Linked DNA regions of Lonchura striata. The protein of the gene in region 2 interacts with the protein of the main gene of each other region in a pairwise test. Links are inferred from orthologs where the notes say so. Each region holds a gene or a part of one and is shown on either strand. Other genes may lie near its edges.

Region 1 (7,460 bases), on a different chromosome or scaffold from region 2:
GTCCAAGCAGCACAGAAGTAAATGATACGAATTTACTAAATCATCTCCAATCATACGGAAATTACCTTTAAGAGACAGTACATCATGTCAAGCAACACAACAGAAGGTCACAGCTGGGAACGTGTACAAACCATGCAGGCAAAGCAAGCAGCTTACCCTTAGTGTACACAAAGAGAGTCCAGCAGAAGTTGAAGAGATCTTTGACGCTGCACGGCACCCGTCTGTCAACAAGAGAAATAGGGGGAGAAGTTACTCTTCAGTTCCAGGAAGCCAAACCTTGTTCTACAGTTCAAATTTCATTCCATTTCCCTGCTTAAAACAACAGCTGGAGCTGCTGTCACAATTCCACACTAAGGCATAGTCTAAGCTACATGTCCCAAGTTCAGTTCTCACTGCCTGACAATGCCTGACCTTGCTCCACAGAGTGTCCTGCACACACCCACAACTTCTTAACCCTGTTCCCAAGCCAAAGGCTGCTTCTGGCTTCTGACCCTGCCACACTATTCTGCTGGTGTTGTACCTCCCACAGAACCCTCCTATGGGTGGGGAGGTGACAAAGGCTATATGTATTTTCCAGTGATGGCTTTTCCATTAGCCATTCCTTTGGAACAGGCAATTGTAGCTTGTACTACAACTCAGCTGCTGACTCCTGTTTGGAGCAGAACTATCCAAGCCCATGGAGCTGGAAGACCAAGGAAGACATGACTCAACCCACAGAGCAGCCAAAGCTGTGGTGGCACCAACCAACACTGCTCTGAGAAAGGAACACCAACAAAGCAGCCATCAGAGCACCTCCCCCTGCACTCTGCCTGTGGATGTGGAGCTACACTGGAGCACTGCACCAGAACAATGATCCCCCCTCACATCCAGAGAACCCACATGAACTGATAAAAACACCTTGCAGATCCACAGCTTGGCTCCCTCATCACGAAGGTTATAATCTCACTACAAAGCTGTCCCAGCCAGATATTCTTGCAGGGAGTATGGACAAGCTCCTTTCCGTAAGGCAGACATTCCATGTGTGCATTGAAGATGACACCACATGTTCCCAAATTTCTCAAAGAAATGAGCACATCAGCTGTAACTTCCCCCCATTTGGTGTTTCCACTCATCTGGCAACCACGGCAAACACCTGGCAGCATGGAGGTCACAGAATGTGACAGCCCTCGAGCAGACGGATCATGGTGTCACACCAACCTCCTGCCAGCACTGTGCCAAGACAGAACACTGCTGTGCTACTTCAGCTATTGCTGCTAAATGTTTGAAGTGTTGATCTCACTGCACCTTGGAGCTAACCTACCTCAGGGTACCTCTCCCCACCACACCCTGACACTCTCACTGTGGGACAGCTCCTGTGTTACAGCAGCTGCATATGCAGCTGACCTGAGCTGCACCCACCGGGCTCAGGGGTGGTTCTGCGCTGGCTGCATTTCAAAGTCAAAGAGACCCCATCACTCTGGAAATTAATTTTCGTAAACTTATATTGGGTATAACTCTTTCCAGGGAAAAATCACATCAAATCTAAAAAATACCTCTGCTTCCTGCTTCGATGTGGTTTGGAACTTTCTTCATAAGGGTTTTGAAATATATCAAAAAATATTGGTTCAAACTTTTTGAAAATCACAGTTGACACTTCAAAATTTCTCTCCAGCCTCTCAACTCGCTCTCGGAATTCCTGGGGCAGGTTTGACATGTCCATCCACTTCTTCATTTTGCTAAAAAACTGAATTAAACTTAAAAGAAAGAAGAAAAGTCTGTTTTCAGCTTTAACTAACTTCCATTCTAAAATTTTAAAAAATCAAAGTGCAACATATTTGCTCCTTTAAAAACTGACATAATTACTATGTAGGTTTACAATTTATTTTGATAAGACTTCCAAACTGCGTGTTATCAGCTTTTTGCCTTTTATCACTCTGGGGTTTCTCCTTGACCTTCTTTAACGCACGGGAACGTTAACTCGATGTGGAGGCTGTCAGCGTGGCTGTGTGGAGCAGGGCAGTGGTGAACAGCAAAATGCAGGCACAGCTCTGTGAGTGTTGAGGCAGAGGTAGGAGAGGGAACAGAACAAGCCAAGAGTCAATGCCCGTCAAAGTTACCTGCACAAAAACCTGACAGCTGGGGATGTAAATAACTGACAACTCCTCCAGCAGCTCAGCAGAGAGTGGGGTCTTTAAATGGAATGAGCAACATTCCGGGCTCCATGTGCCCAGTTCAGAACGCCAGTGACAGGGCAGCTGCTGCTGGGGCCGTGCGGAAGGTGAGTTCTGTGATCACCTGTGCTGTGTTCCCAGAAAAACCAGCGTCTGCCAGCACTCCATCGAGATTTGGCCTGAATCCTGAGTCAGGCACACGTTGTACCGGGATGGCACGCGCCTAAATGTTTGTGGTAAAATTAACTACGGAGAGAAACAACTGGCGTGTGTAGAACGGCTGCTGGTTCGACATAGGTGGTTTCCTAAAGGCTTGAAGTTGGAAATTACGCATTTCAATCTAATTTCCATCTGTAACAAAAGCGGACTTACTGCTTTAACCTCGCCGTGGCTGGCAGCGCTGGGAGCGCAGGCGAGGCTCCCGGACTAGCGGCTCTGGCAGGGCAGGGCAGGGCAGGGCAGGGCACTCCCGGCGCCGAGTGCTCGGCCCCAGCCGGGCCCGGCCCGGCAGGCGGGGCGCTCACCTGAGGCGTGCGGAGCGCAGGATGCGGGTCAGGGAGACGCCGTTCCCCTCCATCGGGCTGCTCCCCACCGTGGGCACGCGGCTCCGCCGGCAGGCGACGTACAGCGCGCAGGCCAACCAGTGCAGCGCTTCGCCCTGCGGGCACGGGCGCCGCGGTCACCGGGGCAGCGCCGCGGTCACCGGGGCAGCGCCGCGCCCCTCAGGCTCGGCCGGAGCGGGACCGCGTCCGCCCGGCCGGCCCCACCCGGCCCCGCTCACCTCCAGGCTGTAGGTGCCCCGCAGCGCCGTGAAGTCGCGCAGCGCCTCGGCCGCGCTCGCCGCGTCCAGGTTGAGCTCCCGGCAGAGCCGCTCCACGGCAGCGCCGGGATCGGCGGCCGCCGGGCGGGACATGGCGGCGGAGCGCGCGCCAAAACCGCCGGAAGGGCGGGGCCGCTTCCGCCGCGGGGGCGGGGCCGCGGGCACCGGCGGGGGCGGCGGTCGCGGCCGGCCGGGGTCACCCGGTGTCTGTCACCCGGTGTCTGTCACCCGGTGTCTGTCGCCCGGTGTCTGTCACCCGGTGTCTGTCGCCCGGTGTCACCCGGTGTCTGTCACCCGGTGTCTGTTACCCGGTGTCACCCGGTGTCTGTTACCCGGTGTCTGTCGCCCGGTGTCTGTCGCCCGGTGTCACCCGGTGTTACCCGGTGTCTGTCGCCCGGTGTCTGTCACCCGGTGTCTGTCACCCGGTGTCTGTCGCCCGGGGTCACCCGGTGTCTGTCACCCGGTGTCTGTCGCCCGGTGTCTGTCGCCCGGTGTCACCCGGTGTCACCCGGTGTCTGTCACCCGGGGTCACCCGGTGTCACCGTCTGCAGGCGGACGCTCGGTGCTGGCGGGTGCTCGCGGCCCGTTCCCGCGCAGGGCTCCGGGAGGCCGCGGCAGGAGCGGCTTTTCCTCGGGCCCCAGCGCCCTGGCACACGCGTGGCTGCGGCATCTTCTCGGCGGCCTCCGCGCCCCGCAGCGCCGGGGAGCCGCTCCACGCGTGTGCCGCGGCCGCGCTCCCCGGCACCCGTGGCGCGGCCCCGGCCCGATCCCGGTCGCAGCGGGCGCTCAGAGCGTTTCCAGGTCCCTGTTCCACTGGAACCGGCGCCGACGGACGGAGCCCCCTTGGGAGCGCTCGTGTCTATCGGAAGCCGTGGCCATGGAGACACCGCCCGCCCTCGTGGGCAGGAAAGCGGCTCCCGCACCTCTGGAAGGGGCTCTGGAAGAGTCACGCAGCGTCCGCAGCGCTGGTTCGATAGGGAACAGGGCTCTGAACCCGCCTGTCACTGGAGGATACCTGAACCACCTCCCTTCTGCTGGGAAGGCGTGGGACGGAGAACACGCGGAGCACGCCCGGAGCGGGTGCGGCGGATCCCCCGCCCCGGTACCTGCGGCGATGCGAGGATGCTCAGAGGATGTTCAGGATCCGGCCCCGCCGCACCCGCTCACTCGGCAGCCCCTGCCCTGCCCCGACCTCCGACCCCACTCAGAGATCCTGGGGTTGGTTCTTGAAAATGCTCTTCTGCAAAGTGCAGGGATCAGTTCGTGGGATCCGCGGGCTGGTGAGGCTGGTTCCTCACAGAGAATCTAATCAGTTTTGTGCTTTCCAAAACATAAAAACCAGCCTTAATCCAACATTCCATAAAACCCAGCCTTAATCCAACATACAAATCTATCTGGAAAATACTGGCCATAAGAGCATGGAAAACTGCTTGTCATAAGCAGACAGGAAATCTGTTTCATTTGTGGTATTGAGACTTTGGGTCCCACAGGTTTGTTTATTCCTTCTGGACCAGAGATGTGTCTTCCTCTAGGTGAGCCAAGCTCTGGTTTTTGTGCATCTTTTCCTCTATCAGAAATCTCTGTCCTTTTCTGAAGGGGAAAAAAGACACTGTGAGGTTTTCTCTTAAAGTTTTGTTTTTCCAAAGAATACAGGCAATTCCTGTACAATGTCTCCCTGTGCTATAGCACAGCCAGCTGAGAAACTTGACAACCAAGGCTTGGCAGGAGCCCAAAGAGAGGAGAGGCTGGAGCATCTGCCATGGCTCTCACTCCTCCCAGTTGCTCCTGCAACAGGTTCAGGACAGTATTTCTTGAAACCTGAAGGCTAATGCTGGGCTTGCCTGAACCGATGTATTCAGGCAGGCTGGGACTGAGTTCCAAGTTAAACCAGTAATGTCACATCTCATCCAGACCACTGGCAAATGGAGCCAGGTAGTCGTGCTGTATGGAGTTGTTCATTAATAAAAATCCCACTGGAGGGAGAACAAGGCCACTTGGGGAATGAGACATCTTCTGCTTGGGCTGAAGATCTTGCATTGTTTTATACCTCTTGAGGTGAAATCTTGATTCTTCAGAAATTAGTGCCACCTATGGCACTGCACCAAAGGCCTCCAGGCACCCCTGGGAGCACCATGAAACAACGAGCATCCCCAAAAGCCATGTGGGAGAGTGAGGATGATGTTCCTAGGCCTGCTGTCCAAACGTACAAGGCACACTGTGCAGATTGACGGGAAGGGGATTGAGAGAGAAGCTGGATTTCTCCTCCCTCTGCTTTCCCAGAGATGCTGCTCTGCAGCACTGGCAGCACTCTTTCCTGGCAGCACTGCCTGCTGTCTGGTGCCCATGGCCGAGCATGGGTGCTATGGGCAGCTGGGCACTGCCACACGGGGCGTGAAGCATCTGGGGGCTTCACCTGTAGCCTAGTCCCTGGAAACTTCTTTGAGGTTGTAAAATGTGAGGAGATTCCTCACATTTGATCTCGTGACTCAGCCTGTGCTCCAGAGCTCTGGGGCTGAAGTAGCTCCTTGAAGAGGTGAGGAACAAAACTGCACTGAAAAGCTCAAATTTAAATGCAAACCAGATGTCATTAGAGAAATTGCCTTCTGCTCACTGCTGACCAAGATTTCCAACCCCAAATCCTTTCTTGTAACTGTCAAGAGCCCAGAGTGGGTACATCTGCACCCAGGGTAGGTAAAGTTCCTCCAACCATGGCTCAGTACTGAGGAAAATTCTTCCCCCCTTTTTTGTGACTATAAAGGGAATTAGAGATCCTGTCTAAATGTGTGATGAGACTTCTGTCAGATAAAAACCAGGCAAGGACAGCAGGGATGTGCAGCTGTGCCTGTTTTACTCTCTCCAGGAAGCGGCACTTGTATCCTGTAAAACACAATAGGGAGCAAGCTGTGCCCACAGTGCCCATCCTCCACCACATCCACTCAGTGCTGCAAGCAGGAAGCACACCTTGTCTGAAGAGACAGAGACCAGCCACCACTGATGTGACAGCTCAAAGCCAGCACATGCTCCTCCAGGGCCCTCCTGCTGTAGCCTCTGCCAGCAAATATCCTGCATTATGGATGCCGAGCACAAGGATGCAGTGTGTGGAGCCAGATTTTAAAGAGAGATTCTGGAACTGGAAATTCATAGCTCATGATACCATTTTGCCAGTCTTTTCTGTGGGGTACTTTTCTATTCTTCCTCCCCAAAGGAGCAACAAAATACCAGGACAAGGTGCTTACACAGAGCAGGTGGAGCAGTAAAAGCACTGCTTTTACTCTGTGTCTTTTTTCCTGGATCTTGGAAGAATAGAGCTGGTCCTACATATCATTCTGACGAAACACTGACGAATGTCTGCTTTGCTAAAGCCTGAGATCCTTACACAGAGATTTAGGACAAGCATTTCACAGAACTTGGAGGTACAGGAAGCACAGGGAGAGGAGCCCAGCACCCCCAGTACCCCACCTGCTGTGAGGGGCTGTGCACATGCCAAGGGGTGTAACTGCTTGGAGGGTGGGGGTGTGTGAGACAACTGTGGAGGCCTCTGGACTTTTGCCCACCCTTGCGGAAAAAGCATGTCAGCAGAGAGCCCTGGTACATCCTCTGTGCTTAAACTGTCCCTGGAGCTTGGGCTGCTCCTGGCATCTTGCAACCCACGTGGAACATGAGTTCCCTCAGGCTGGCGAGTTCACCCAGGGCGCAGTGGGAGCTGCAGCTTCGCCCCCTCGCAGCCAGCAGCAGAGTAACACACAGGGCACCAGGAGCAGCCTAGAGCAGTGACCAGGCAGCTGCTTTCAACAGCTTCTCAATGGGATCATGCTGAGAAAAAGGCAAGTCACGTTTATCACTGAGTCAGGTGAATTAAACATTCACATATATTTGCTGAAAAAAATTATATACATCTGTAGCAAGGCTCTCCCAAGTCTGAAAGATAAGCATCCTCTAGTCACTGAATTAAAAAAATAAAAATCTGACTTTTAAATATTTTTCTTTTTATCCATGTTCAAGAGCACAGACAGTTTATTTTGTTAGCACATTTTGTGAAGGATGTATGTGTGTGAATAGCCATGAAAACCAGTCAAAATTTGGCATTTGTTTGGGATATGATGGAAAAGAAGAAGCAGCCACTTAACGCCTTACAGTCTAAATAATCCACAGAGTATATCGGGTTGCAAAAGGGTCACAAAGTAGCAAAGAGAAGCCTAAACACCCAGAGACGTAGCATACATGTCTGCTAAGGAAGAACAAGGTATAGAGCATGCTGACTAATTAAATAAATTCCACTTTAGACCCTGTTCCTTATCCATGTAACCCTGGAAAAATCATCCCATAACAAGAAGTGGACTCGGAAGAGATTTCTGTATCCATTCACAGTAAGGCTTTGAAGATATATGAAGTTTTATAGCATTTGTATTTTAAGGATTTAGGGCAAGTACATGTTCTTCCACTGAATAAAAACAAAGTTAGTACTTAAAAGGTTCAAAAATATATCAATT
Region 2 (7,671 bases):
GCCCCTAAAATGCTACAAGATAGTGTTGATTTCTAAAGCTATAGGATTTTAACACAGAACATATTAAATAGATTTAAAATTCAAACTAAATAAACCACTTTTTCAAAATGCTGCTTGCCATCCCCACTCCAGTTTATGTGTTCAGTTTTATTTGGGTTTTCCTCAGCTGCCTTTTTTTTTTTAGGGGGCTGGATGCACAGGGGCTATTGTTTGGGGATTCTTTTCCTCAAATGGTAAGTATTAATTCCTATATGTTGCTTCTTTTCTGTCCCTGAATTCATGTTGTTCACTACAGTAAAAGGTAGGTGGCATGATTTTTTACACGGATCTGTTAACTTTTACTTCAGCCTTCCAAAGCTGAGATAAATACGTGTAACTACTCAAACTGGTCATGTTACCTTGAGAAACATCAGTATGAGCAAAACATTGTGTTAGCATGCAGCTAACACAAATAGGTGCTGCTGCTTAGAGCCTGAAGACCAGGAACACTGCACTGGGGTCCTGCAACAGCATCCCTCATGTTGCCTTTTTGTTTTTAACCCATCCATCAAGTCTTCCTAAGAGACCTGAGAGTTTGAGTTGAAAAAGCCCTGGCAGTTTCTAACTATAGATGAGGGGCAGTGAAAGCACTTCAAAGAAGAGGGCTCCTTAAAATGAACAGCATTACTGGCATTGGGGAATTTGATCTTGGCTCAGTTTCAAACATGGCTATACAAGCCCTTGAGAAGAATCAAATTCAACTAGTGGGGTGATGGAGTGGCTCCTCCCTATTTTTCCAGAGAAGGCAACCACCTGTGCCAGACAGCAGTGGTGGTGTCTGTTGTCTATGTGCCCTCCCAGCTGTACGAAATCATGCTACTCAGAGCACTTCCAGTTCCTACACTTCCAGTTAAATCTCATTTAGGTAGCAGCTCAACTGTGCCATATACTCATATTTGCTGCATCTGAAGTTGGGCTCCTTTGATGTCCTTATTGGCAATTGAAACATAACTGAAACTAACTGAAAATTGATAGTGCCACCTACTATCATAGGATTAAATTGTTGATACCATCCAGGTCTAAAATGGACTAGGACAAAATAAGATTCCCTTTTTGCAGAATTGCTCATGGATAAGTGTTCTGTCACCTAGTTCAATGGGCCACAGTATGGGTTATTCTGAAATCTGGACACGAGCCATGACACCACAGGAAGTTTCATATCTGTTCAAGCGCAGCAACAGTGAAGCATTTTTCCCACAGTTTTATTGTCTAGGTGTGTGTGTTTACTCTTACGAGGTGAATGAGATGCAGTTCCAGTCAGACTAGTCATCTTAAGACACTCAGTGTGGGAATGTGGAATATCAGACTCTCCAGTAGTTTTCTAGCACATTCAATGACCCAGGAATCTATTCAGTGGTCAACTATGTGATTACAGAGTACATAAAATCAAATAAATGTGGAAGAGAGATAAAATAAAAGTTCAACCGTTAATGTTAATCCCTTTTCACTTACTGTGGAGTAGATAAGGATAGCACTGTAGAAGACAGAGGATTTATATTGCTGTAAAGATCAACATGAGAGAGTATGAAAACAAACAGCTCAGAGTTTATTGGGAAATAAAATGGATGACATAATTATTTGCCAGAGTGCTTCCTATAAATAGTAAGAAAGGTACAGTTTATGGTAAAATATCTGATCAATCAGCCAGAGGACTATTTCATTGTTACTTATCAGATCTGTGTGTAGATTTAAGACATCTGCTTCTCTTAACATGAGGAAATGATTGCTTGCCTACATCACAAACTTTTAGGTTACAGAAGTTTCAAAAGTTGAATGAAAAGCTGCCAACAAGCATTATTTAGAAAGACTGGAGTGTCTATCACAGCCTATTATGGCATGACAGCTTCTTCCAAAACACGTAGGTAATTTTAGTTCCACCATATGTCTACTAATTTGATAATGGATTAAACTTACAATTTGATCTTACAATAAGTAATCTGCTGCTGAGCTCCTGAACAACACATTCATTTTATTTAAGTCAAAAACCAAGTGGTTAACAATGATGAGGAATGAGCAGAAAAGAACAAGATTTTTTCAAAATACTTCAGAATTCATGGTATGTACTTGATGGGAAATCAACAATATTCTCAACAATGGGGAACAATAGATTTGAAGCTTGAATCATGTGTCATCTCCTTTCTGACAGTACTTCAAAATACCTCAAAAATGTTGAAATAGTATTTCAGATCCAGTTTTATTTATGCTGCAGCTCCTTATTTATGATGTTTTCTTGAGACCTGAGTGATCTGAGTAATGTAAAAATAATTAGATGGAACAGCTACTAACAATTATGAAATACCTGAACACTTAACTTTTTAAATATTTCTATTAACGATCTAGAAAGTATATGTTTGCAGCACTGTCCCTTCCAAACTGATTACTATTATGTCTTCTAGTCATGCCACCAAGATGTCTCTGCAAGAATTCCTATACATACCAAAATGGTCCAGTGAAATCATTTAAGGCAGACTAGTAATAGTGAAAAACTGTGTTTTGTTTCTATTTCATCACTAAGAACTACCTAAAATCAAGGGGTTTATCTCATTGCAGACAGTAGGGCTGGTCCCAAATAGGGGAAAAAAATAACATTGAGAAGTAACAAAAAAGTTCAACAGCCTTATATTGTACTAATTATATGTGCCTACTGGTTTGCATACTTACCTAACACAAAAATATGCCTAGGCTGCTCTGTGGTACAGTAAAATGACAAGTCATAGAAACTGTTAAGGTCGAGAGAGTGGGGGGAAGCCCCCCCCTCCCCCCCATACTTCTGTGTGTAAGCCCCAGCAAGCAGATTACAAATCCTGGGGCACAGATAGATTTAACAGCACAGCCTCAAAGGCAAGGCCACTTCTGGAACAGTTGTACACCCTGGTGATCCTCTTGACATCTAAACCAGCAAGAGTTTCTTTCAGGAAGGCTGAGGCAGCATTTGTTTCAATGCAGGCTCCCGCACACCCCCTTGCTTTTCCAGAGTATTCTGTGCCTGCTGTGACACTGAACTGTGGCACCAGCTGTGGCCTGGCTTGTCCCCTTGGCTTTCTTCTGGCAGCTCTCTGTGGTAGCCCCAATTAATGGGCCAGAGAAGAGGACTGAGACAACACCTGGTGACATCGATGAACAAACATGAGCCAGCAGTGCCGTTAGGTGGCCAAGAAGGCTGATGGCATCCTGGCCTGTGTCAGAGAAAGTGTGGCCAGCAGAATCCTGTACCTGGCACTGGTGAGGCTGTCAGGCTTGGGCCCCTCAATTCAGGAAGGACACTGAGGCGCTGGAGTGTGTCCAGAGAAGGGCAGCAAAGCTGGAAAGGATCTGGAGAACAGGTCCCATGAGGAACTGCCGAGGGAGCTGGGGCCGTGCAGCCCTCGGGAGGCTCAGAGGAGGGAGCTGGGGCCGTGCAGCCCTCGGGAGGCTCAGAGGAGGACGCTGGGGCCGTGCAGCCCTCGGGAGGCTCAGAGGAGGACGCTGGGGCCGTGCAGCCCTCGGGAGGCTCAGAGGAGGGAGCTGGGGCCGTGCAGCCCTCGGGAGGCTCAGAGGAGGGAGCTGGGGCCGTGCAGCCCTCGGGAGGCTCAGAGGAGGATGCTGGGGCCGTGCAGCCCTCGGGAGGCTCAGAGGAGGGAGCTGGGGCCGTGCAGCCCTCGGGAGGCTCAGAGGAGGGAGCTGGGGCCGTGCAGCCCTCGGGAGGCTCAGAGGGAGCTGGGGCCGTGCAGCCCGGGAGGCTCAGAGACTTTACCGCTCTCTACAACCATCAGGGAGGAGCGTGCAGCCAAGTGGGGGTCAGCCTTTTCGCCCAGGCAACAAGTGACAGGACAAAAAGAAGCGGCCTCAGGTTGCTCCAGAGGCGGTTTAGGTTGGACGTTAGGAAGTTTCTTCACAGAAAGGGTGAGTAGACATTGGAATGGAGTGCCCAGGGAGGTGGTAGAGTCACCCTCGCTGGCGGTGCTAAGGAAAGACTGGACGTAGCACTTAGGCTGGACTCGATGGCCACTGTTGTGTTCCACCCAGCGAGTCCCGTGACGCTGTGACTGTCACCCCCGCACCCGAACCCCCCGCGACCGCCCGGCGCGGGGGCTCGGACCCTCACGCTCCCCTCTCTCGCGAGAGCAGCGCGGAAGCCTCGCGAGAGCGGCCCGCGGCCCCGCCTCGCCGGGCAGGCCAGGCGCTCGCTGCGGCTTTTCCTTTTTTCCCGCCGCTGGCGCGAGGAGCCGGCGGGAGCCAACCAGGTAACGGCGCGCGCTCTCCTCATCCCGCGCCGGGGAGAGACCGCGAGCGCCGCCCCCGCCCCGCCCCGCCCCGGGACGGCCCCGCCGCGGCCCCTCCGGCCCCGGTCCCCGCCGGGGGCTCCTCAGGCGCTGCCCGCCTGCCCGAGGGAGCCCCGTTCTCTCCGTCTGGCAGGCTCCCGCCGCTCGGGAGAAGCGGCGTGTGGGACATGCCATACCGCTCCTCCGGCGTCCCGGCTGCGGGGTGTGACCCGAGCCTGGCGGGAAGCTCCCAGGTGTTGGTCATGGCAGGATTTCCCAGAGCATCCCGGCGTGTCTCTCGAGTGAGTTTTCTGTGCGGTGTTCGTGCAAGAGGGGAAAGAGAACGAAGCCCACCGCCGGGAAGTGCAGGAGAGTTGCGTTTGTAGGAGCAGCCGGTGGGGACCACGGCGCCGTGTGCTCCCCGGAGTCCCGGAGGGGCGGTGCGTCCCCGGCCGAAAGGCATCAACGCCGATAAGCAGCCTCGGCGCGTTCATCCGTGCTGACGGACTCCCGCAGGCAATCGTTGATGAAGCCCTGGAAAGCCTGACCGTGCCGGCGGGAGTTGATTTGTGGAAGCAGAGGGAAATGGACGCGTTTAGGTGGTTCTGTGAAAGCGGCAGTCGGCAGGATAGCAGCAAAGCAGGACATCCGGGAGAGGGGCTGGCGCTGTGCTTCCACCCCAAGCAGCTTCCAGTTCTGTCCCTGCCTGCAAGTGTCCGTACATCCAGCCCTGCTGTTTTTTCCCCTAAGGACTGGAAAGCAGTTTCTTGGGGCTGGAGACTAAGCCATCATTTTTACACTTGTGCAGCTGCCCAGGCCTGTCAAAGGCTCGACTTGAGCGCTTCTTGCGAGCCCGGTGTTTTAAGAGATGTTGAACACCTGTAGGGAGCAATGTATCATTTTGGTATCTTGAAGCTTGGGAAAATGCTTTGCTCATTTTTTACTATTTGTAGTCGGTTGATGTCCGAATAATTTGCAGAAACTCTGAGCGGGTTTTGTGCATTTTTTTTATTGCAGTCATCTTAGGGAAAAAAATCCAAAAAAACCACTACAGACACCATTTACTGTCTAGACTCAGGTGACTTTTTCATGGAAATGAGTCATCTGACATACTTAAATCTCAAACAGTAAGTGAAACAAGCATGTGGTTTTCACTGCCCTAGTGCTTGACAGAAAAAAAGCTTGATCCTGAAACATCTGTTGAAGGTGCAAAGCAAGAGTTTAAATGCCATTCCTAATGTCACTAGGCAGTTGGTTCCACAAAGAAGTGTTGTAAGATGGTTTAATGTGGCTGCACACAAAGTGGAGCATTTCAGCTGCAAAGATGCAAGCAAATCACTGTCCAGCTTATGTTGAAAACGTGTAAGCATTGCTAATTTCAAAGGGTAATTTTATTTTCTACTAAGGAGTTCTCTGAACATTTGCTAACATGAAGCCATATCCTGAATTTGCTAAGGACAGAGCAGGTTAAAGCAAATGTGGAGCTGCTGGCTGCATTATTGTAAGATTTAAATATCCTTATACTATAGAAAACATACAGTTCAAGTGTTTCTGTTGAGAATATTGTTTTGTTCCATTGTAAAGACAGCCAGACTGAACAAAAGTTACTTAAAAGCGTGCACAGAGGAGTGAGACAGGAGAGTGGAACTGAAGCCTCCAGGCCCTACACTTGATCACTGACCAGTGGACTGAACAATTTATTGTGGTGAATCTGGGAGACCAGCTAAACCAGTAGCTGCATTTAGATACTCTTAAGTTGTTTAAAGGCTTTCAAGATGGGAAACGCAGCTTCTTGACTAGTCACAGACCATGTATCATCTGAACTTGTACCTCAAAAATTTTAGAGCAAATTGTTCCTTCCATTTGGCAGTATAGGCATGATGGTTTGCTTGCTCAAGTTGCTAATTTAGGAATAGTATGAAATACCTAGCTTTTTTTTTTTTCTTACTGCATTTTATATTACAATATCATAGAGATAGATATGTCCACCTGGTAATGAACAGTCCCTGTTCAGAAGTGTTTGTTTAAAATTGACTGCATAAAAATGAGGAATATCCATTTTCACACAGAGGGAACTGAAGGACAGAGATTACAGAAGTATTACAATATTGGACACCAGTAGTGTCCAGTAGAATTGAGTATTGGACACCAGTAGTGTCAGTAGAATTGAATCTTGCCTTGGCTCAGAACCAGATCTGAGTACCGTGCTTCCTCTGTAGTTGGCCTGAGGGCATCATCCCTGTAAAAAACCCTTCAAAACAACTGAGAATTATGGGTAAGATTATCCTAAATTTTGTAGGCAGTCACGCTTCTAAGAGCTATATGACTTTGATTGTTCTTCTCAAATATTGTTTTGGAGATTTATAGATTTTTGTGATTACTCTCCATTTTTTTTTTCATCAGGGAATTGGAATAATTTTAATATAGAATTATGAACACTTCAAGGGGATGTGAGTTTTTCTTTGCAAAAGGATGTAATTTGAATTTGAATCCAAATTTATGTAAACGATGTATATAGACAAATCCATCTCTGATAAAACTTTTGACAAATGCTTTTGCTGACAGCCAGATTTTGGCACTATGGCTTACTTTTGGAAAACAGGAATTCGGTATAATTCTATCTTTATATAAGAAAAAAATAAAGACTCTTAAGTGGTTTAATCTAATTTTAGGTTGATAACTTTTTAAGGGGAAGAAAATTCTGTTAGTTTGTAATTATCTGCGGCAAAATACTTAGCAGTGTCCAAGCTTTCAGGGTGGTTGTCAGTGTGAAAGTATATAAATATGTATCCTCAACAAGGATAGACAGTAAACTTTGTATTTCATCCATGGCTACAAGTGGTGCTCTGATAAATTCAAATGTGTTATCATTCTGTTGTTACAGACATACGCCCCTCTTCAGAAACAGTTTCATAACTATGTAATTTAAAATATAAAATTTGAGAGAGAGCCAGTTCTGTAAGTTAAAGAAGCTGGGAGCAGAATAAAGCAAGATGAATGCATCTGGAGGAAGCTGTGGGAGCCCTAGTTCTGCAGAACCTACAGGAGATTTCTTCAAAGAACTGTGGTCCAAACTGAAAGAATGTCACGATAAAGAAGTACAAGGTAAGTCACTGAAGGTTGGGTTTGTCAGGCTAAAGTTGGTGTTTGTCAGTTACCACAGGAAAACTTTGAACCAAAATACTCTCCATGGAGCTAAATAGATTTTTAATGTTTTCAGTTGTGCAGAAAATTAGACCTGATGATTACAAATGATCCTTAGAGATTGACTACCTGAGCTTGGCTTAACAGGAATAAACTATCATCACATATAAATTATTTGCTAGGTCAGTGAAGAAAAAGTAACACAATGTTACTTTGTGTAACATTGCTTATGTTACACAAACATGTA
Region 3 (8,213 bases), on a different chromosome or scaffold from region 2:
TGGACTCACTCAACTCAGTGATAAACCTCCTGTGGACCACAGGATGCTGAGATTTCCTTCTATATGACTTTCTCCTCTAAGAAGTATGTTTCTTATATATTTCTGGTATGATACATCAGATTCACAAGTTTCAGGGAGAAAATTTGCACTGAGAAAAGAATCTCCAGGATTTTTTCTCTCAGTGCTGGTAATATTAAGGTCCACACTTAAAGAATGTTATATACATGGATGTCCTCCAAATTAGCACAGAAATGCTTCTGGTTTTTTTCTCCCTTTACTGGGCATACTCTGTTAGAGCCCAGATACTCTCATGGGACTTTCTAAGCTATCCACCTGCCTGTAGCTACTTCTGCTATGGGAATGAAGGCTCAAGAGGGGGTATGGGGACAGCAGGGGTCTCTGCCCCACTTACCTCATAGAAGAGCCCTTCGGGGAACTGCTGAAAGCACTGGGCGCAGACGAAGCACTGCTCGTGGTACAGCTCACCATTGCTGTTCACAATTTTCTCGGCAGGGGCAAAGCCCCCCCTGCAGCGCTCACAGATGGCGTTTGCAAGCGCGTTCGCCATGTTGCTGTCATTCAAAAAAAAAAAAAAAAGAAAGAAAATTAGCCTAAGTAGACAACAACACTGGTCATCAGTCTTTCCCCTGCTCTACCAGGCCAAACTGCACCAACCTAATGATAAGCTGCTCAGCACAAGTTTTTCCATGAACTTCATAGCTTGCGGCATCTCCCTGCTCCCTAACTCTTTAGATAGAAACAAAATCCCTGTGATATGCTCTAATTAATTGAAAACCCCAAACAGAAACCTTGTCTCTTCAGACACATTTACAGGCTTTCTATGATGAAAAAAGGCAATTCAAAGTACTATAAGAATTATGATATACATTAAAATGACTGAAAACAAGGGCAAATATTAATGATTAAGGACTGGCATCACACAGTAAAACATAAATTATTTATTGTAAACCAATTCTAATACATACATATATAACTTCTAAACTATACATATATAATGGCATTGGTTCAGAGCTCTAAATAAACAATGTGAAAGAGTGTGCAGGATCTAGTCTGGCAGATATTAATGAAAAACAGAGTAGTTAAATAATTATCCTTTATATGAGCTCTGCATAGCTTGAAGTCATTTTACAAATTTAGTTTGAAATCATGGGATTTTTGATTGCTTTGTTAGGGTTTATCTCAGGGAGCTCGGCTGATCATGTGCCAGCTCATAGCCCACTCCAAGGCTAGGGGGGAGGAGAGGGTGGGAATGCTCTGGCTGCCCCACTGCGACCCATGCCAGGGATGCAAAGAAATATTGAAACAGCAACCTTGGTTGCTTCTCAAAGGCACAGGACCAAAAAAAAGGCAGTGTGGTAGCTGTCCACATCTGCAGAAGACAGTATAGCTGATTTTCAGTTAATTAAAGCCAGCAAAAGGCTCTTTTGGTTTTCCCTTTGCAAACATTCCATCACTCATATCTAGGCTCTCAAAACTCTGCCTTTCAGGATCATCCTTAATACCATGTGGTAACAGAAAGTAAATATAGGGCAATGGTCTAGTTTCATTAAAATGGGATGTCAGCTGAGAAAACTAATGACTCAATATTTATCTGGAAGGTTATTAGACAAGTGACATTATTTGAAACACATATGCATGCAGGCACGCATTTTGATAAGTTATCATGCTGTGCCTGTAAGTGCAGAGCCCACAGTCCTCTGTAAGATGCCAAGCCTTCCTTCTTATCTCTTCAAGGGGATAAGACCTTTGGGCTCCCACCATGTTCAATAGGAATTGAATTCATTCCTTGCACACTATCCAAGGGAGCAAGCAAACACCTAGCACGTGGTTCAAAATGGAATGTGTTTTATCTATTTCTTACACTGTCTCACAGAAGAGCCCTACACAAGGTCACATTTGACATGTTATTATTAGCTAGCACTTTTTTTTCTCTCTCACTTGATCTTTGCAGATGAGGAAAACGGTAACTGCAATCCAAATATCCACTGTCCTCACAGTGAAATGAGTGGGCAAATTTCACATGAAGATCAGACACAGGATGGTCTAACCCCTAATAACAGACAGACCTATGGACAAACTGCAGTGACTATACATATAAACTGTGATCAACTGTAAAGGTCATCAATGGTCTTCATTGACTGTGTATGCTTTCTGTGGGGCAAAACCTCAGTCAATTTTCCCATCTTCCTTATCAATCTAAATGAAGAATAATCACAAGAGAAACTGGGATCTTTCATCATCACTTCAACAGTGCTTGAGCATTAAGGATTCTAAGCACTGATGTACGTAAAGTACAATCCAAGCAAAAACATGAAACAAAGTTCAAAACCAAGTAAAAACAGTTTCCCTCTTCAGGAAAAAGTGCTTAACTTTGAAACACATCACATATGTAAAACTAGTGAAGTATGTAATACTTCTGCATTAATGAAGCGGTTTATCCATTTGCCCAGAATAACTGGCAAACAACCTGAAGGCAGAGAGACTACTTTAAAAATTCCAACACCATTTTTACTGCTGATAAAAATTCCTGATGCAATTCATGATGAAATTTAAAGCAACAATTCAAATTTTAGTTGTTACAACTGGCAATGTTTCAAGCAGAACAGTGGCAAAGGTTGAATGAGAGAACAGCTTGCACAGCCTGAGCCCCAGATAATAAAATATATTATGTACAATACACCAGTAATGTCACTGCAGTTACACCCCGAAGCTGAACAGAACAAACTTACAATCTTGCATAAAAATCACAAAACTCTTTGTAGAGTTTTATTTCACTGTGCCTACGTTGCAATTTTGACACCGGTTTCTCGCCTTCATTTCCTGCGGAGTTGTGAGCATCAGGAGTGACCTTGTAGGCAACCTCTTCATCCTCTGGGATGGGGAAGGGCTGAGCTCTGCGTTGGAAGTCCATCTCGCTCTGATTGCTTTCCCAGGTGTATATATTCTATGCTTAGACTGCAAACAAACTGTAGGCAAAGTCCGCAAAACAATATGCTGGACTTCCCCTTGTTCCCAGCGAAGTGATTTACTTTCACAGCTCCTGTCATGTAGCTGGAGCTACTCAGCACCCTGCTAGAGCTTCAAGTTAAAAGTTCAGCAGCAGGGCTGGGAGCCTGTCACGCTGAGATTTACGCAGGCTGGCTGTGCACAGAGAACACTCCCCTCACCAGGCCCTCATGTAAACTCGGATGCTGGAAAGGGTCTTCGCTGCTGGCTGCTGACAGAAGCTGCCCAGGAGAGCTGTGGTGTGAGTAACCTATGTGCAAATAAGTTTATCACCAAACTTGGCTGCAGCTTCTTTATGCTGTGGGGGCGTGAAGGCAGAGTCCAACAATATTTTATCATGGGCAAACCAACAGTGGAAAGCAGGATCAGAAGACTCCTGTCTCCAGGTAAATATTGCTTTAATGCTATAGTGTGTTAATTACATTGTAAAAATGACATTTAATGCTCCACTTGTGTCTTTTAAGTCATATGTGTTGAATTTATCTATGTATGTCTTTCCTCTTCTCAGTACTTCAGACAAGGGGAAGGTACAAGCAGATTGTTTGATTTCTGTTCTGTTTCTCAGGCCATTAACAAAACTGACAGGCATGCCATAATGGACAATACATGAAGGAGGAAAACCAAAGCTTTATTTCCAGTGATGTGCTGCATTTAGAACAACTATCCAATGTAAGAACACTAACTAAAGTAAGATTTACAGCTAATAATTAGACTCTTACAAGCTCTCCCTCTTTGAAGCGCAGTGTTTGTGGCACAGTGCCTGTGGGCTTCCAGCACTTTATAACTGCAGAAAAGGAAGGCTTTTGGGAAGCCCCCCTGAGTAACTAACTTTTGTGTTGAACTGTCTCAGCCTTGTTAGCAACCAGTTGAACTGCAGAACTGCATGCACTTTGTGCTCATGACACACAGCACACTGGCAGCTGAAGAATCTGCTAGTCTGTGAGGGGGCATGAGGAAGCAGAGGATGACAAGAAGGAGATGAGTACCAGGAACAAATAGAGAAACTAGAACTAAGATCAGAGAGTAATAGAATAATTTAGATTGGAAAAGACCTCAAGACCACTGAGTATAACCATTAAACTAATACTGCTACATTCACCACTAAATCATGTCCCCAGGTGCCACATCTACACATCTTTTAAATACTACCAGTGATGGTGATGCTAATACTTCCCTGGGCAGTCTGTTCCAGTGTTTGACAACATTTCCATGAAGAAATCTGTCCTGATCTCCAATCTAAACCTTCCCTGGTACAACCTGAGGCCATTTCCGCTTATACTGTCACAGGATATGACAGAATGTCCAGTCAAGGCTACAATTTCTTAATATACCTGCACCTTCCCTAGGACCTACCACAGAGGGTCTGGTTGGTGATGTTTTTTGGCCATATCTCTCACCACCACCTAAGACAGCTTGCTCAGCAAGCGTACAGCAGCCCACACGCCACTCTCCATGCAGGCCTGAGCTTGCATGCAGCCACCTTCCTACAGCTCAGCCAACACAGTCCCACGCTGCTGCTTCTGCTGACAAATTTGTGGAATGGGTTTGGTCAGTGTCTTCCCTTCACTTCCCCTCAACAAGGAGCAACAACCCCCTAGGCAAGCTATTTCCTTGCGTAGGTGGGACCCAGGCAGCATGACCCTGCTGATCTGCCTGTCTGTAGGTGTGATTATTCACCCTATGCCAGAGCTACCAGAAGTCAAGCTCTAACAGGCTAAGGAAGCTGCACCCTCACCACTGACACAGCCTGGCTGCAGCTCAAGTCCTATTTTTATCTGTCATAGGGCACACTGCAGATGAAGCAATGCTCAGGTTCTAGCCCAAGGCCAAAAAGATCTTGCCAGAGCACCACTGCAGTCCTGGAAGAAAAGGTTTCTGCATTCTCTGAAGCATGAGTGATGAAAATGTGCAGACTGCCAACAGACATGCAGGTATAGTGATGCCAGTTCTTCTTCATCTTGCTTCCCAACACTTTTTGCACAGGTCAGTGCTGAGCTTCTGTGGGCATAAAAAACTTCAGTGAGACTGACTACAGTGGACTAAAAATGCTGATTTATTCAGGATTAGTAAAGATAAATGAAGCCACTAAGATAATAAACAGCAAGTGAGCCTACCTCTTCCTCTTATCACTATCTTCTCAACAATTTCCCAACTCTTTTCCTGTATTTTGTCCCAGATCACAGACAATTCTCCTGGGAAGATGCTGCTGTAAATCAAAAGTGCCCCATAGAGACTTTTTCCTGGTGGACTACTACAGTTTTGCAGTAATCTGAAATCCACAGGTGACCAATGTGGTTGGAAACAACTTCTGCTGCCTCATATTCTCTTTGGTCAACAAGAAAACATTTGATTGCTCCTTCACCTTGCTACTGTGCAGTCTTCTGCATGGCTGTAGCAAAGCAAGTAGTACAGCAAGTTAGTGCAGTAAGATGTCCATCCAAAAAGCCTGGTTTTATCTTCCTAGTTTTTGTCAGGAGCAAGTCCTTCAAAGTAACAGGACTCCATATGTGCAGTAAGTAGAAGTTGTCTGGTTCTCCAGTCATATTACCATTGCTGCTGGAGGAATGACTCCAAATTTTTTCTAATAAACAAGAAGGAGCTTAACAAGAGTTTTAAAAGGGCCTTTATGCTACTGAAGCAAAACACAGCTTCTACTGTGAAGGTCTGATAATCCAGAGCAGCTGGCCATCCTTCTCTTTTCTGACATTTTATAGGAGGCATGCTGCCCAGATCTGAAATACATTGTTAAAAATACACTTCATTTTCATGAGGGAATTCTAGGTTACTCTGAGGTGAAGCTGTCCATGGAGAGTGAGAAGTATGTAAGGGGTTGTTTTGCAGCAGCAGCTTCCCAAGGGCATTCCCTGGGATATGGGACAAAACACAGCAAGCAGCCTATTGTTAAAGATGCAGTGCTAGGGAGAAGAAGTTGGGCGTTTAACTAGAAAAGACAGGTATGAAAGAAAAAGACAATCTCCTCTTGGCACACTGAAGATCTTATCAGAAGCCAAAACTGATGGTAGGGAAGGTGCTGAAGGAAATGGTAGAAGAGGGAGGGAGAAGTGTTCCACTGCGGTTACCAGAAGGGCTTTGGTAAACAATAGCAAAAATAGGCGCACTGCCTAATCCCTGCTGAAGGATGACTGCCGCCTCACTCCACGCTGCTTTCGCTGCACAGCTTTCCAGCCTGGCTGCCCATGCCGGCGGCTGCCAGGGGCAGACAGGGACTCTTACAGTGACGGCTCGGTGGCCAGCCAAGCCCGCTGAGCATTTCACTCCGTGCCACAAATAGCCGTGTGCGGAGCAGCCACGGCTCCAAACAAGGTGCTTGGCAAAGGCAGCTGCTGCCTGGCAACCTGTTTGTGCCACCGGGACATACAGCTGCGGGAGGAAACACCCGCGGGGACAGGCGGGGGATGAACAAGCACAGTGCATCCCACCTCCTCCCCCGCAGGCACGAGTGGGTTCATTCCAATGATGCAGTAACAGATGCTGTGCAGTGACTCTCACACGCAAAATACAGAACAACCTAGAAAAGAAGTTTGGCTGCAAAAGACGCGTGGGCTTGCAGTGCCCTGCTCTGATTTCTGCACCAACATTTCAAAGCACTAGTTGACCTTTTGTGAGGGTTTCTTATTGAAATTAAAAACACTCTTGGGTTCTGGTTGCTGCAATTGTTTATCTCTTAAGCAATAAAATACTTTCTGGTCTCCTAAGGCAGTTTGAAAAAAGTAATTAATATTTTATATAATTAAAATGCACATTTTTACAGGTTGGATTTTCACATGTGCTCAGCACTGCTCCAACTACTTCTTCTATTAAAAATTATGGAAAACCATCTTGAAAACACTGCAGTAAAAATCATGTGAATTCTGAGTGTTCCTGAAAGTTTCATTCTTTAGTCTTCACCTCAAAATACATAATTAAGCTTATGTGGTGGGAGTTTAAACAGGGCAAACAAAAAGGCAATTCTAGTTGTTTCATATCCTCCAGTATAAATTTATTCTAGTATAAACATGTCCAAAAAATGCTTTGGTCTCCATAAACAGAGAAGGTTCACATTCCATCTCTCCATAAGGAAGTAAATATAACTGGAATAGACAGGTAAGCAGCAGCTTCCCACACAATGTTTATCAGTCATTCAGGCACAGTGAAATATCAGTCTCTGACAGAATTTATATAAAGGAAGAGCAATATGCAACTACAGCATTTTCCTGTTGTAAGTAATATTTCAGCAAAGTATTGTGTTTTCTTCCTGCTGGTTACATCTATTACCAAATGAAGCATAAACCAAGTAATAACTTCTGTGTACAGATATTTGATACTCTTTAAAACATTCATCTCGTCCTCCCACACTACTGTTTCCTTCAATCCTGTGCAGACAGGAAAAATAAAACAAACAGTACCATATATGAGAAGCTCATGAACTCCAATAATTTTGTGTTGCATGTGACACAGCACATTATTGGCTATTCTTGAAATCTGCACCTGAGTAGTCAACTGCAAGTCTATTTCATTATGGTATCCAAATTCCTCCAACTCTATAAATTTTAAGGATACATTTGCACTGATGCATTTCATATAACACTTACATCCTCATTTCTAATTTAAGAATAATAAAAAAGGTCAGCCACTTAATTCTAGGGGCTGCACATCAAATGTTCCTGAGACAGTCGCTGTGAAAAGAACCATCTTTTCAAGCCTGAAAAGAGAAAATCAAGTCCACCAAGCTCTGAAAAAGTGACAGGACAAGAAGAAACAACCTCAAGTTGCTTCAAGGGAAGTTCAGATTGGACATTATTTTTTTTTGTTTCATGCAAAGGGGCGTCAAGCATTTGGAACAGACTGCCCAGAGAAGTGGAGCAGAGTCAACAACCCTGAAACTATTTAAAAGACATGTAGATGTGGCACTTGGGGACATAGTTTAGAGGTAGACCTGGCAGTAATGGGTTATTAGTTAGACTTGATATTAAGAGGTTGTTACAGCCTAAATGATTCTATGATTCTAAAATGCAGTAACGTATTTCTCTTTAGGGTAATGGCTTCCTTGCACAAATATTCAGTTCATGTCATCTGTCACTGACATCCACCAAAAATCCTCCACTGAATCCTCAGCGTACAGGCAAATGCCAGCCTTTGATTCTGCCTGAGTCATCTGCCTGCACTATGTGGAACCAATGTTTTGA
Region 4 (8,149 bases), on a different chromosome or scaffold from region 2:
ACAGTGAAGTTCCTCTCTAATCTCTCAGTTCGCTCTCTGAACTGGGATGGTAGATTTGCCATGTCTTCCCACTTCTTCATCTTGTTAAAAAACTCAATCAAGCTGCAAATACCGAATGGGCCATTAGTTTTTCATGCAGAATTAAACCCTACATTTTCAACAAAAGTGCAATTTTTACTGCCCGAACTACTGATGAAATGGTGGCTCTGCAAACATGACAATGAACTCGGAGCCAGTCCTTCACCCATAAACATGGATGAGCTCAGACAGCTCGTGAAATATTTTTAGATCCTTGGCTGATAACCCCATTAACTATGTACTCACAGGTCTGGCATCTTCTCACAAAGCCAAAATCAATTCCAACAGTTAGATTAATTTGAAATCAGATTTGCCTTGTTTTTCTGAATAATTTATTAATTTAAATAAATCAACCTATGAGATCTACAATGCTAAGAATATTCTACAAAGTATGAGAAACCTCTTAAGTTTTAGAAAATTGCACTTTGCAAATTTGGCTTTAATTCCTTTACAGCTTCTTTATCTTCATCTTCTTTATCAGTGTTATTAGTCTTGATAGTCCAGATCACGGAACCAATTTATCAACATTCAGTTCCCTGAATTTCTGATTTGGAAAATAAAAGCTTATAGAGGAAAGCTTTTGCATTGTTTAATCAACAGCAATGCTTCAACAGTAGAGGAAACCGGCTAAGAAGTACGTAAGAACATTCTTTTTTTTGTGAGAATCTATGGAATTTTTAGAAAACAACGAGATTTCTAATAAAGTCAATTATTTCAGAAGCTTTTATTTATTACTTTATAGACATAAGCATCTGACACAAAATTGTTTGTCAGATTCTGACCTCATTTAATGATTTTACCAAAACCATGTGAAAAGTGAAGTCTTATGCAAAAACAGAGATAAAGCTTGTGAACATTTTCACAATGAACTACAAATGGTTTCTCATGTGAAAAGTTCACAATTTGCACACTCCCAAAATTCATGGTTTTTCAGTGTCTGGCTTCTTGCTCCTTTGAGTGAAGGAAGTAAATCTCTCATTTTGAAAACCAGCGTTTTCATGAACATAGTACTGCCCTACTTCTTTGGCAGTGGGCTATAACACAAACATTCTGGGGATATAGACTCTACACAGACTTCAAAAACAGGAAACAAGAAACACATTTAGCTTTTATTCTCGATTTCCAATTTCACAAGGTGATAAGCACTCTTTGTGATTTTTTAAGTGTCTAAAAATCAGCAAGAATAAAAGTTACCTTTGGTCTGAACAGCGCAGGATTCTGGTTAAGGACACATAATTTCCTTCCGCTGTTCCCCTGCTCACAGTTGGAATTGCTTTCCTGCAAGCCACATACAAGGCACAAGCCAGCCAATGCATGTCATTTCCCTGTGAATCAAAACATCAGGCATCTAAAAAACTGCACTGAAAACAAAAACATGCTTTTTCAGCTACCCCAGCAGCAGGGAAAAGCACTGTCCCAAACAGATGAAGTTCAACCAGTGAGAAAGTAGATTTGCTGTTTCAAACTTCTGTTGCGCTTTGGGTTTTTAACTGCAACAAAACAGGTGCTAAATAGACACTGAACACTGAACTGCATCAAAACTACTAGTTGCCATTATAACATTTACATTTGACTCAAAATATCCAATATATTTTCAGTATATGAAAATATATTTTTAGTGTTCATCTACAGCATTTTGTACTGCTTGGATTTAAAAGAAAAAGAAAAAAAAAAAAAAAAGAGAAAAAGAGAAACTACTATAGTTCTTGCAACCAAAACATCCTTCTGCCCTGAAGAGACAGCAGGAAAAGAAAAACATTGCTTCCATTTCGCTCTGTATTAAACAGCAGAACAATTATTCAATCCGGTACCCAAAGAAAGAAGTTATTTCTAATGAGCACTTGAAATTTTATTCTTCGTCTTTGAGCAATGAGTAACACCTCAGTGGAAAAAGGAACGGGAAGAAAGAAGGGGCCAAACGGAATTCGATGCTGCGGTTGTTGGTTCTGTCGGGCTCCGCGGTGCCAGGGGCCCGGCTGAGCGCCCACCTGGGGGTGTGCGAGGCAAGGCTCGATCCCGAGCACCGCCGCCCGCCCGCGACGGGACAGCGGCGCGGCCGGAGCCGCTCCTCCTCCCGCAGCCCCGAGCCCGGCGCGGAGCTCTGCCCGAGAGCCGCGGGGGCAGCGCGGGGGCAGCGCGGGGCAGCGCGGGGCAGCGCGGAGCAGCGCGGGGACAGCGCGGGGCAGCGCGGGGGCAGCGCGGGGGAAGCGCGGGGGAAGCGCGGGGGAAGCGCGGGGGAAGCGCGGGGCAGCGCGGGGGAAGCGCGGGGGAAGCGCGGGGGAAGCGCGGGGAAAGCGCGGGACAGCGCGGGACAGCGCGGGGAAGCGCGGGGGCAGCGCGGGGCAGCGCGGGGCAGCGCGGGGGAAGCGCGGGGGAAGCGCGGGGCAGCGCGGGGGCAGCGCGGGCCAGCGCGGGGCAGCGCGGGGAAGCGCGGGGGCAGCGCGGGGAAGCGCGGGGGCAGCGCGGGGCAGCGCGGGGGAAGCGCGGGGGAAGCGCGGGGGCAGCGCGGGGCAGCGCGGTTATCACAGGCGCCACCTTTGCTGTGGGAAGGCACCGATAAAAGCTCCCGGGCGCGTCACCGCGTGTTCCTGTTTTCCAGAACGACGCGACCAACCCTTCACCTTCCACCCTCCACCCGCCCGGCCCGGGCCGTGCCGCGGCCGCGCAAGCCCCCAGAAATAAGTGACAAATGTGATCGCACCTGCGCTGGCATCCCCGCGGGCCCCGCGCCGGCCGAGGCCGCCGCGCCGCTGCCCGGCCGAGCTGCGGAGAGCCGAGGGACCGCAGTGGCGGGGGCTCTTCCATTTTTAACACCTTTCCGCCGCTATGACTCCCAGTGGCGATGGTCACTCCCGGCCGCCCGGGCGGTGCGAGGGAGAGGCCGCCGCGCCCCCGCCGCCGTCCCTCCCCTCCGCACCTCCCCCGCGCGTCCCGCCGCGCTCCCCCCGGCCCCGCCACCCCTCCCTCACCTCCAGGGTGTAGTTGCGCCTCATGCTCTGGTAGCTCAGCCAGGCCTCGGCGCGGGCGCGCTCGTCCATGTTGAGGTTCCTGCAGAGCTCCTCGTAGCGCTGCCGGGTCTCGCCGTCCTCGCCCGGCGGGGACGGGGCGGCGGCCGCGGCCCCCGCGGGACCCGGCTCGGCCCCGGCCGCCTCCTCGCCCGCCATGCCGCGCCCCGCCGCTGGGGGGCAGCTCCGCGCCTGCGCCGCCGCCCCGCGCGTTCGAATCCAAACACCGGGGGACGGGCCCCGCCCCCGCCGCGCGCCGCGCCCGCTCATTGGCCCGCGGGGCAACAGCCCGCCCCGCCCGCGCGCAGGCGCACGGCGCGCGCTCCTAGCACGCACCGCGAGACGCGCGCGCGGCGCGGATCGGGAGCGCGCCCGGCGCGCGAGCCCCGGGCGGGGCGGGGCCGGGGCCGTGAGGGGAGCCCGGAACGGGCGGAGAGCGGCCGGGCCGGCTGCGGCTGTACACGAATAGACACAAACACACGCACGAATATACACGAATATGTGCACACAGTGCGGGGTACGGGCTGCACACAGACAGACACACAAATATGTACACAGAGTGCGGGGTACGGGCTGTACACAAATATATACACAAATACGTACACAGAGTGCGGGGTACGGGCTGTACACAATACACACACAAATACGAACACGGTACAGGCTGTACGCTCACACAGAGCGAGGTACAGGCTGTACACAGGCAGTGAGGGGGAGGAAAGACAGAAATAGCTCCCCTGGTCAGGTGCCAGCCGAGCAGAAAGGAGGCTGCCAAAAGTAAGGTTAAACTCCTAAAGCAGGTACGTGTCAATGAAGTGACCAGTAAAACAGGCTGCACTTGATTAAAAGACATTTATTGACTGTTGGCTTGATTTTGTATTACTGGTATTTCACGAACGTTGAAAGCTTCAGGGAAAAAAAAAAAAAAAAGAAATGTTAAGAATATTTGACTGACCTGAGATGTGATTCAGGACACAAATACACACTGGTACCCAGCAATGAGAACTGCAGAAAGCCCAAGCTGGCACTGGAAGATGGTGATGCCAGCAGGGTTCCCCCCAAACCTGCAGCCCCTAGACTACCAGAACAACTTACAACTTTAAAAAGGAGTGATTAGATTGTATTTCATCTTACTTTTTGTTTTAACACAGAGGAGCTATGAACTTTGCCATCAGGCCAAGTTCCTGCTCTGAGTTATGCACAGCATTGATGGGAAGCTCTCTGCCACCCATAAGACTATATAAATTATGTAAGGCTTTTCTGTTTAGCTATATTTACAGTATCTACTAAAATACAAAGCAACAATAACTTATTACAGCATTTAATTTCTACTGAGAAATAATTCATCTACTCTTTAAAAATCCTTCATATAAAAAAAGGAGGAACAAACCCTCACAATATTGAAATACCTAAAGAGTTAAAAGGTTAAAGGATCAAAGTGAAGTTTATTATGCAGTGATTACACCTGTGTACTTCCCTATGGTTTCATGCATTCAGACTTCATAAATAAATGGTTTGACTGCTCTTGTGTAGAAAACTTTTTTTTTTGAAGTTTTTATTTAATGGTGTACTGAAAACTCAGACAAGAAACATACTTTTTTATCCCTGAGGACTTAGCATCACTTATTTCTCCACTTCTCCCTTCTTTCCCTCCCGCTCCTCCCCCATTAAAAGGATGCATGAATAATAAAGTTACCCTCATATGGCATGTTAATTATTTTAATGATTTTGACTATTGCTAGATGTTAGACCTACCAGTATGACAAGTAACAGCCACAAACACCCTCTCAGCGCGAGTCCGTCACAGCTGCTTGGCTACCCCTTGGCAGCATACATTTTTTACTGTGCTGTAGACTCAGAAATCTTCCCCATGAACATGTCTTGCTCCCTGCTTTGAGCTGCTGCACGCAGCTCAAACACTGTCAAGGACAGGACCTGACATGGTAGTCCCCAAATCAAATGCTTTTGTCGTCTGAGAGCAGAAAACAGTGTGAGGACTGTTACCAGTTTTGGTGAACACTAAGGAAAATGCTCTCATCTCTCTAGATGATGACACTGTATTTGTTATTAGGATCCCAAGAATTTCCCAAACCAGCCTTCCTTTAATTCAGGAGACCTTACCTGGAACACCAGTGCACTGTCAGGTCTCCTTCATACTGGAAACACACAGGAGGCAGAGCAAACAAGTCCTCATTTTCCAGTTTAACTTCATGAAGGATCTTGGGCACTACACCTTCCTTCCTTCCTTGCATGAAAGAACCTGAAAGGAGGCAGCATTCAATAAAAAAACATCATAAAAAGAACTTGGAAAGCTGTTATCTTTATTTCCTTTTCCTCTAAATGTTAACAAAGAAATTATACTGCCTGTTTGTGTAACATTAGGGACATTCAGATAAGCCAGGACAGTTATTTTGTAAACTGTGGCTACACAGTACAATTAGTCTGCTCTACAGACAACACCACCAGCCCAAGGTCCCAACAACACAGAGATATAAAATTTTAAATGTTGGTCAACTACAGCAGTGTAAATCCCACATTGCACTGAAACAGCCTTGCTCATGTGGAAGGTAATTCTATGTGTAATAAAACTAAATCAGAAACTGCCTATAAAACTGTTAGTAACTTGCAAATCACAAATAAGTTAATGTAACACTATTGTGCAGCCCCCTTTATATTAACCCTGAACACCAGGCACATTTCATCTTGCTACAACTTGCATTAGACCTTCCTCAAACCTTCATTTTAATGAATGGTCACACTGAGCAATCCATGAAAAATTTATTACTAGATAACATGGCACAAATAATTTTGTTGGACACAGAATAAAACATACAGGACAGGACTTTTCCCTGGACACCTTGTTAAGAGTCTTATCTAATCATACCCCACATACTGCTTGGAAAAATTTCAAAGGAGTGCCAGAAACTAACCACTACTATAGTGCCTAGAGCATCTTGGGAATACTTCAATTGAAAACATATTTCCATATTTCCATTGAAAAACAGATCTTTATATTTTAATTTACAGACCAAGAGGACTGGATTCTAAAACTAATTTTAAAAAATACTATTGGAGATTTTGCATGACTTCCATGGAAAAAAGAGAAGTTGAGAACGGAGCTCATGTATATGTCAACTTCTAACACCTGTGTACACATCTGCAGAAGCTCGAAAAAGATGATCAGGATATGAAGATAAAATTCAGACTGAAATAAATAAGGATACGATTGAATCATTCTAATGCAATGCCAGGTGGCAGGAGACACCTTGGGTTCAGGAGCAATGTCTGTGCCCTGTGTGAAATACATGCAATAGTTAAGTGCTGTGTACATAATTAAAAGCTTTAATGAAAATGTGGAAAGTAATGCAAAGTTTTTTTCTGAAAAAAAAAGACTGAAAAGGTACTTACTTCACTGCCAACATGCTTATTTAAAATTAAGGTAACTTTTGGACCAGAACCTAGACTGAACATTCTTTTCTAACCATAAGTACTGAAGAGTGGGAGTAACAGCTGGTTTGATTGTAAGATAAGAAAATTAGGGGCAATTGATTCCCAGGAAAAATATACAAGAGTAAACCATGGTCTTGGGCAGTAGGTGTGTTATGTCCTTGGCTTGTTTGCAGGGTTTTTTTTAAGGTCTTAAGAATAATTTCAGTTTTAAAACTTAGCACTGAAACTTGAGTTTTGCTGCTGGAAGATCCATGTTTAATCCTTTCACAGCATTACTTTCACATACGGAGGCTGACATCACGGGTAGTCAAAGAATATGTTTAATAAAAAATAATTAAACTTCCATTTGCTCTATAGAACATCATAGAAAGTAATTCAATAAATTACAAATGACTTTTTAAGACGCTTGTTCAACTACAGAAAGCAAATTCAGACTACACAGAACACAACTGGCAAATATTGCAAATGTCCAAAAAAAACCTGGACTAAGACTTGGATCATGAAGCCTGAAACAAGGGATAGAAATACAAGGCAATAACAGCTAAGGTTTTTTTAGTAACTACCAACACACACTTTATCATCACCTTGGATATCCTTTTAATTTTAACTCCAGTATTAGTGTAATTCTACTGAGGTTTCCTTATAACCCTTAACTTTATACAACCGTATTTGCATATAGTTTAGCTGATAGTGGGACACTTTTTTCCCCCCTCTGGATCAAACTGATGAAAAATAACCCAAATATAATTATGTTCAAGTCTACACCAGCTTTCATTACTTGAAACTGTAATTGCCTTATTACATAGAAAGAATCACTAGAACAGTAACCAAACTTACTTGACCATAATAGGAAAATACTTTATTTCATAAATCTGATATAAATTAGGTTTTAGCCACAAGATTTAGGACTTGTTTTGTGGGGGAAGGGTGGGAAGTGATGGTGTTGTCGACATACTCCATCAGCAAATGAAGTTAATAACTGCTTGTAAAACTTTGGCTATTTCATAGATGCATCCTAGTTAAATAAAAGTGCTATATTACACAAAGGGCAAGATATTAAATATGAAATACTTTTCCTTTTAATGATGAAGAATTGGCTACCCCCTTCTCTTGGCAGTTTTTGATTTTCACTATTGCTAAGACACTGCATGAAGGGCCAAAAATCAGAATACTATCTGGGAAAATACGTAACCAGCACAATCCAAATGGTACTTGTATAGTTGTGTAATTACATCTAATACTGCTTCTAATCATGGGGCTAGTTATTTTGCACATAGAAACTTATATTTCATTGGTAAAGTTCTTGATAAAAAACAACACAGTTGTTTTACTGTACAAGCAAGCAACAGAACTATATCAAAATATACAGTTTTTGTTTTTTATTTTTAAATTTATCCCTTTGTAAAGCTTTTTCCATGACTTTCACTAGTACCTGTATCTATTTTCTCTTAACACTTGCCTATTCTTGGACCACAAATGGTGTAACCAAGGTCACCTGAAGTCTCAGTCAGTTCAGAAGTTCTGTAAATGTGAATCTGGGCCTCGACCGTGTCAGAGTAATAGCAGCTTAAGAAGAAGGAGGAATCATATCACACATCAAATATTAGACAGATTTTGTA

The links.
Region 1: the proteins of RBBP8 (region 2) and RBL1 interact in a two-hybrid assay, tested with the Homo sapiens proteins (2 studies listed by BioGRID and IntAct). The link is inferred for Lonchura striata from reciprocal best matches to the Homo sapiens genes RBBP8 and RBL1.
Region 3: the proteins of RBBP8 (region 2) and LIMS1 interact in a two-hybrid assay, tested with the Homo sapiens proteins (2 studies listed by BioGRID and IntAct). The two-hybrid records come from large-scale screens. The link is inferred for Lonchura striata from reciprocal best matches to the Homo sapiens genes RBBP8 and LIMS1.
Region 4: the proteins of RBBP8 (region 2) and RBL2 interact in binary tests that used the Homo sapiens proteins (3 or more experiments, as listed by UniProt). The link is inferred for Lonchura striata from reciprocal best matches to the Homo sapiens genes RBBP8 and RBL2.

What each region holds. Positions count from the first base shown.
Region 1 is NC_134619.1:14,349,995-14,357,454, forward strand, and holds the start of RBL1 (retinoblastoma-like protein 1), read right to left. Parts: upstream 3,085-7,460; 5' UTR 3,064-3,084; coding exon 2,932-3,063; intron 2,809-2,931; coding exon 2,675-2,808; intron 1,734-2,674; coding exon 1,533-1,733; intron 222-1,532; coding exon 157-221; intron 66-156; coding exon 1-65. UniProt on the Homo sapiens protein: Key regulator of entry into cell division. Directly involved in heterochromatin formation by maintaining overall chromatin structure and, in particular, that of constitutive heterochromatin by stabilizing histone methylation.
Region 2 is NC_134603.1:47,356,699-47,364,369, reverse strand, and holds the start of RBBP8 (DNA endonuclease RBBP8), read left to right. Parts: upstream 1-4,171; 5' UTR 4,172-4,262; intron 4,263-7,164; 5' UTR 7,165-7,273; coding exon 7,274-7,385; intron 7,386-7,671. UniProt on the Homo sapiens protein: Endonuclease that cooperates with the MRE11-RAD50-NBN (MRN) complex in DNA-end resection, the first step of double-strand break (DSB) repair through the homologous recombination (HR) pathway.
Region 3 is NC_134604.1:90,285,290-90,293,502, reverse strand, and holds the start of LIMS1 (LIM and senescent cell antigen-like-containing domain protein 1), read right to left. Parts: upstream 3,224-8,213; 5' UTR 2,933-3,223; coding exon 2,751-2,932; intron 573-2,750; coding exon 413-572; intron 1-412. UniProt on the Homo sapiens protein: Within the IPP (ILK-PINCH-PARVIN) complex, binds to F-actin, promoting F-actin bundling, a process required to generate force for actin cytoskeleton reorganization and subsequent dynamic cell adhesion events such as cell spreading and migration.
Region 4 is NC_134615.1:12,861,495-12,869,643, reverse strand, and holds the start of RBL2 (retinoblastoma-like protein 2), read right to left. Parts: upstream 3,243-8,149; coding exon 3,048-3,242; intron 1,404-3,047; coding exon 1,273-1,403; intron 103-1,272; coding exon 1-102. UniProt on the Homo sapiens protein: Key regulator of entry into cell division. Directly involved in heterochromatin formation by maintaining overall chromatin structure and, in particular, that of constitutive heterochromatin by stabilizing histone methylation.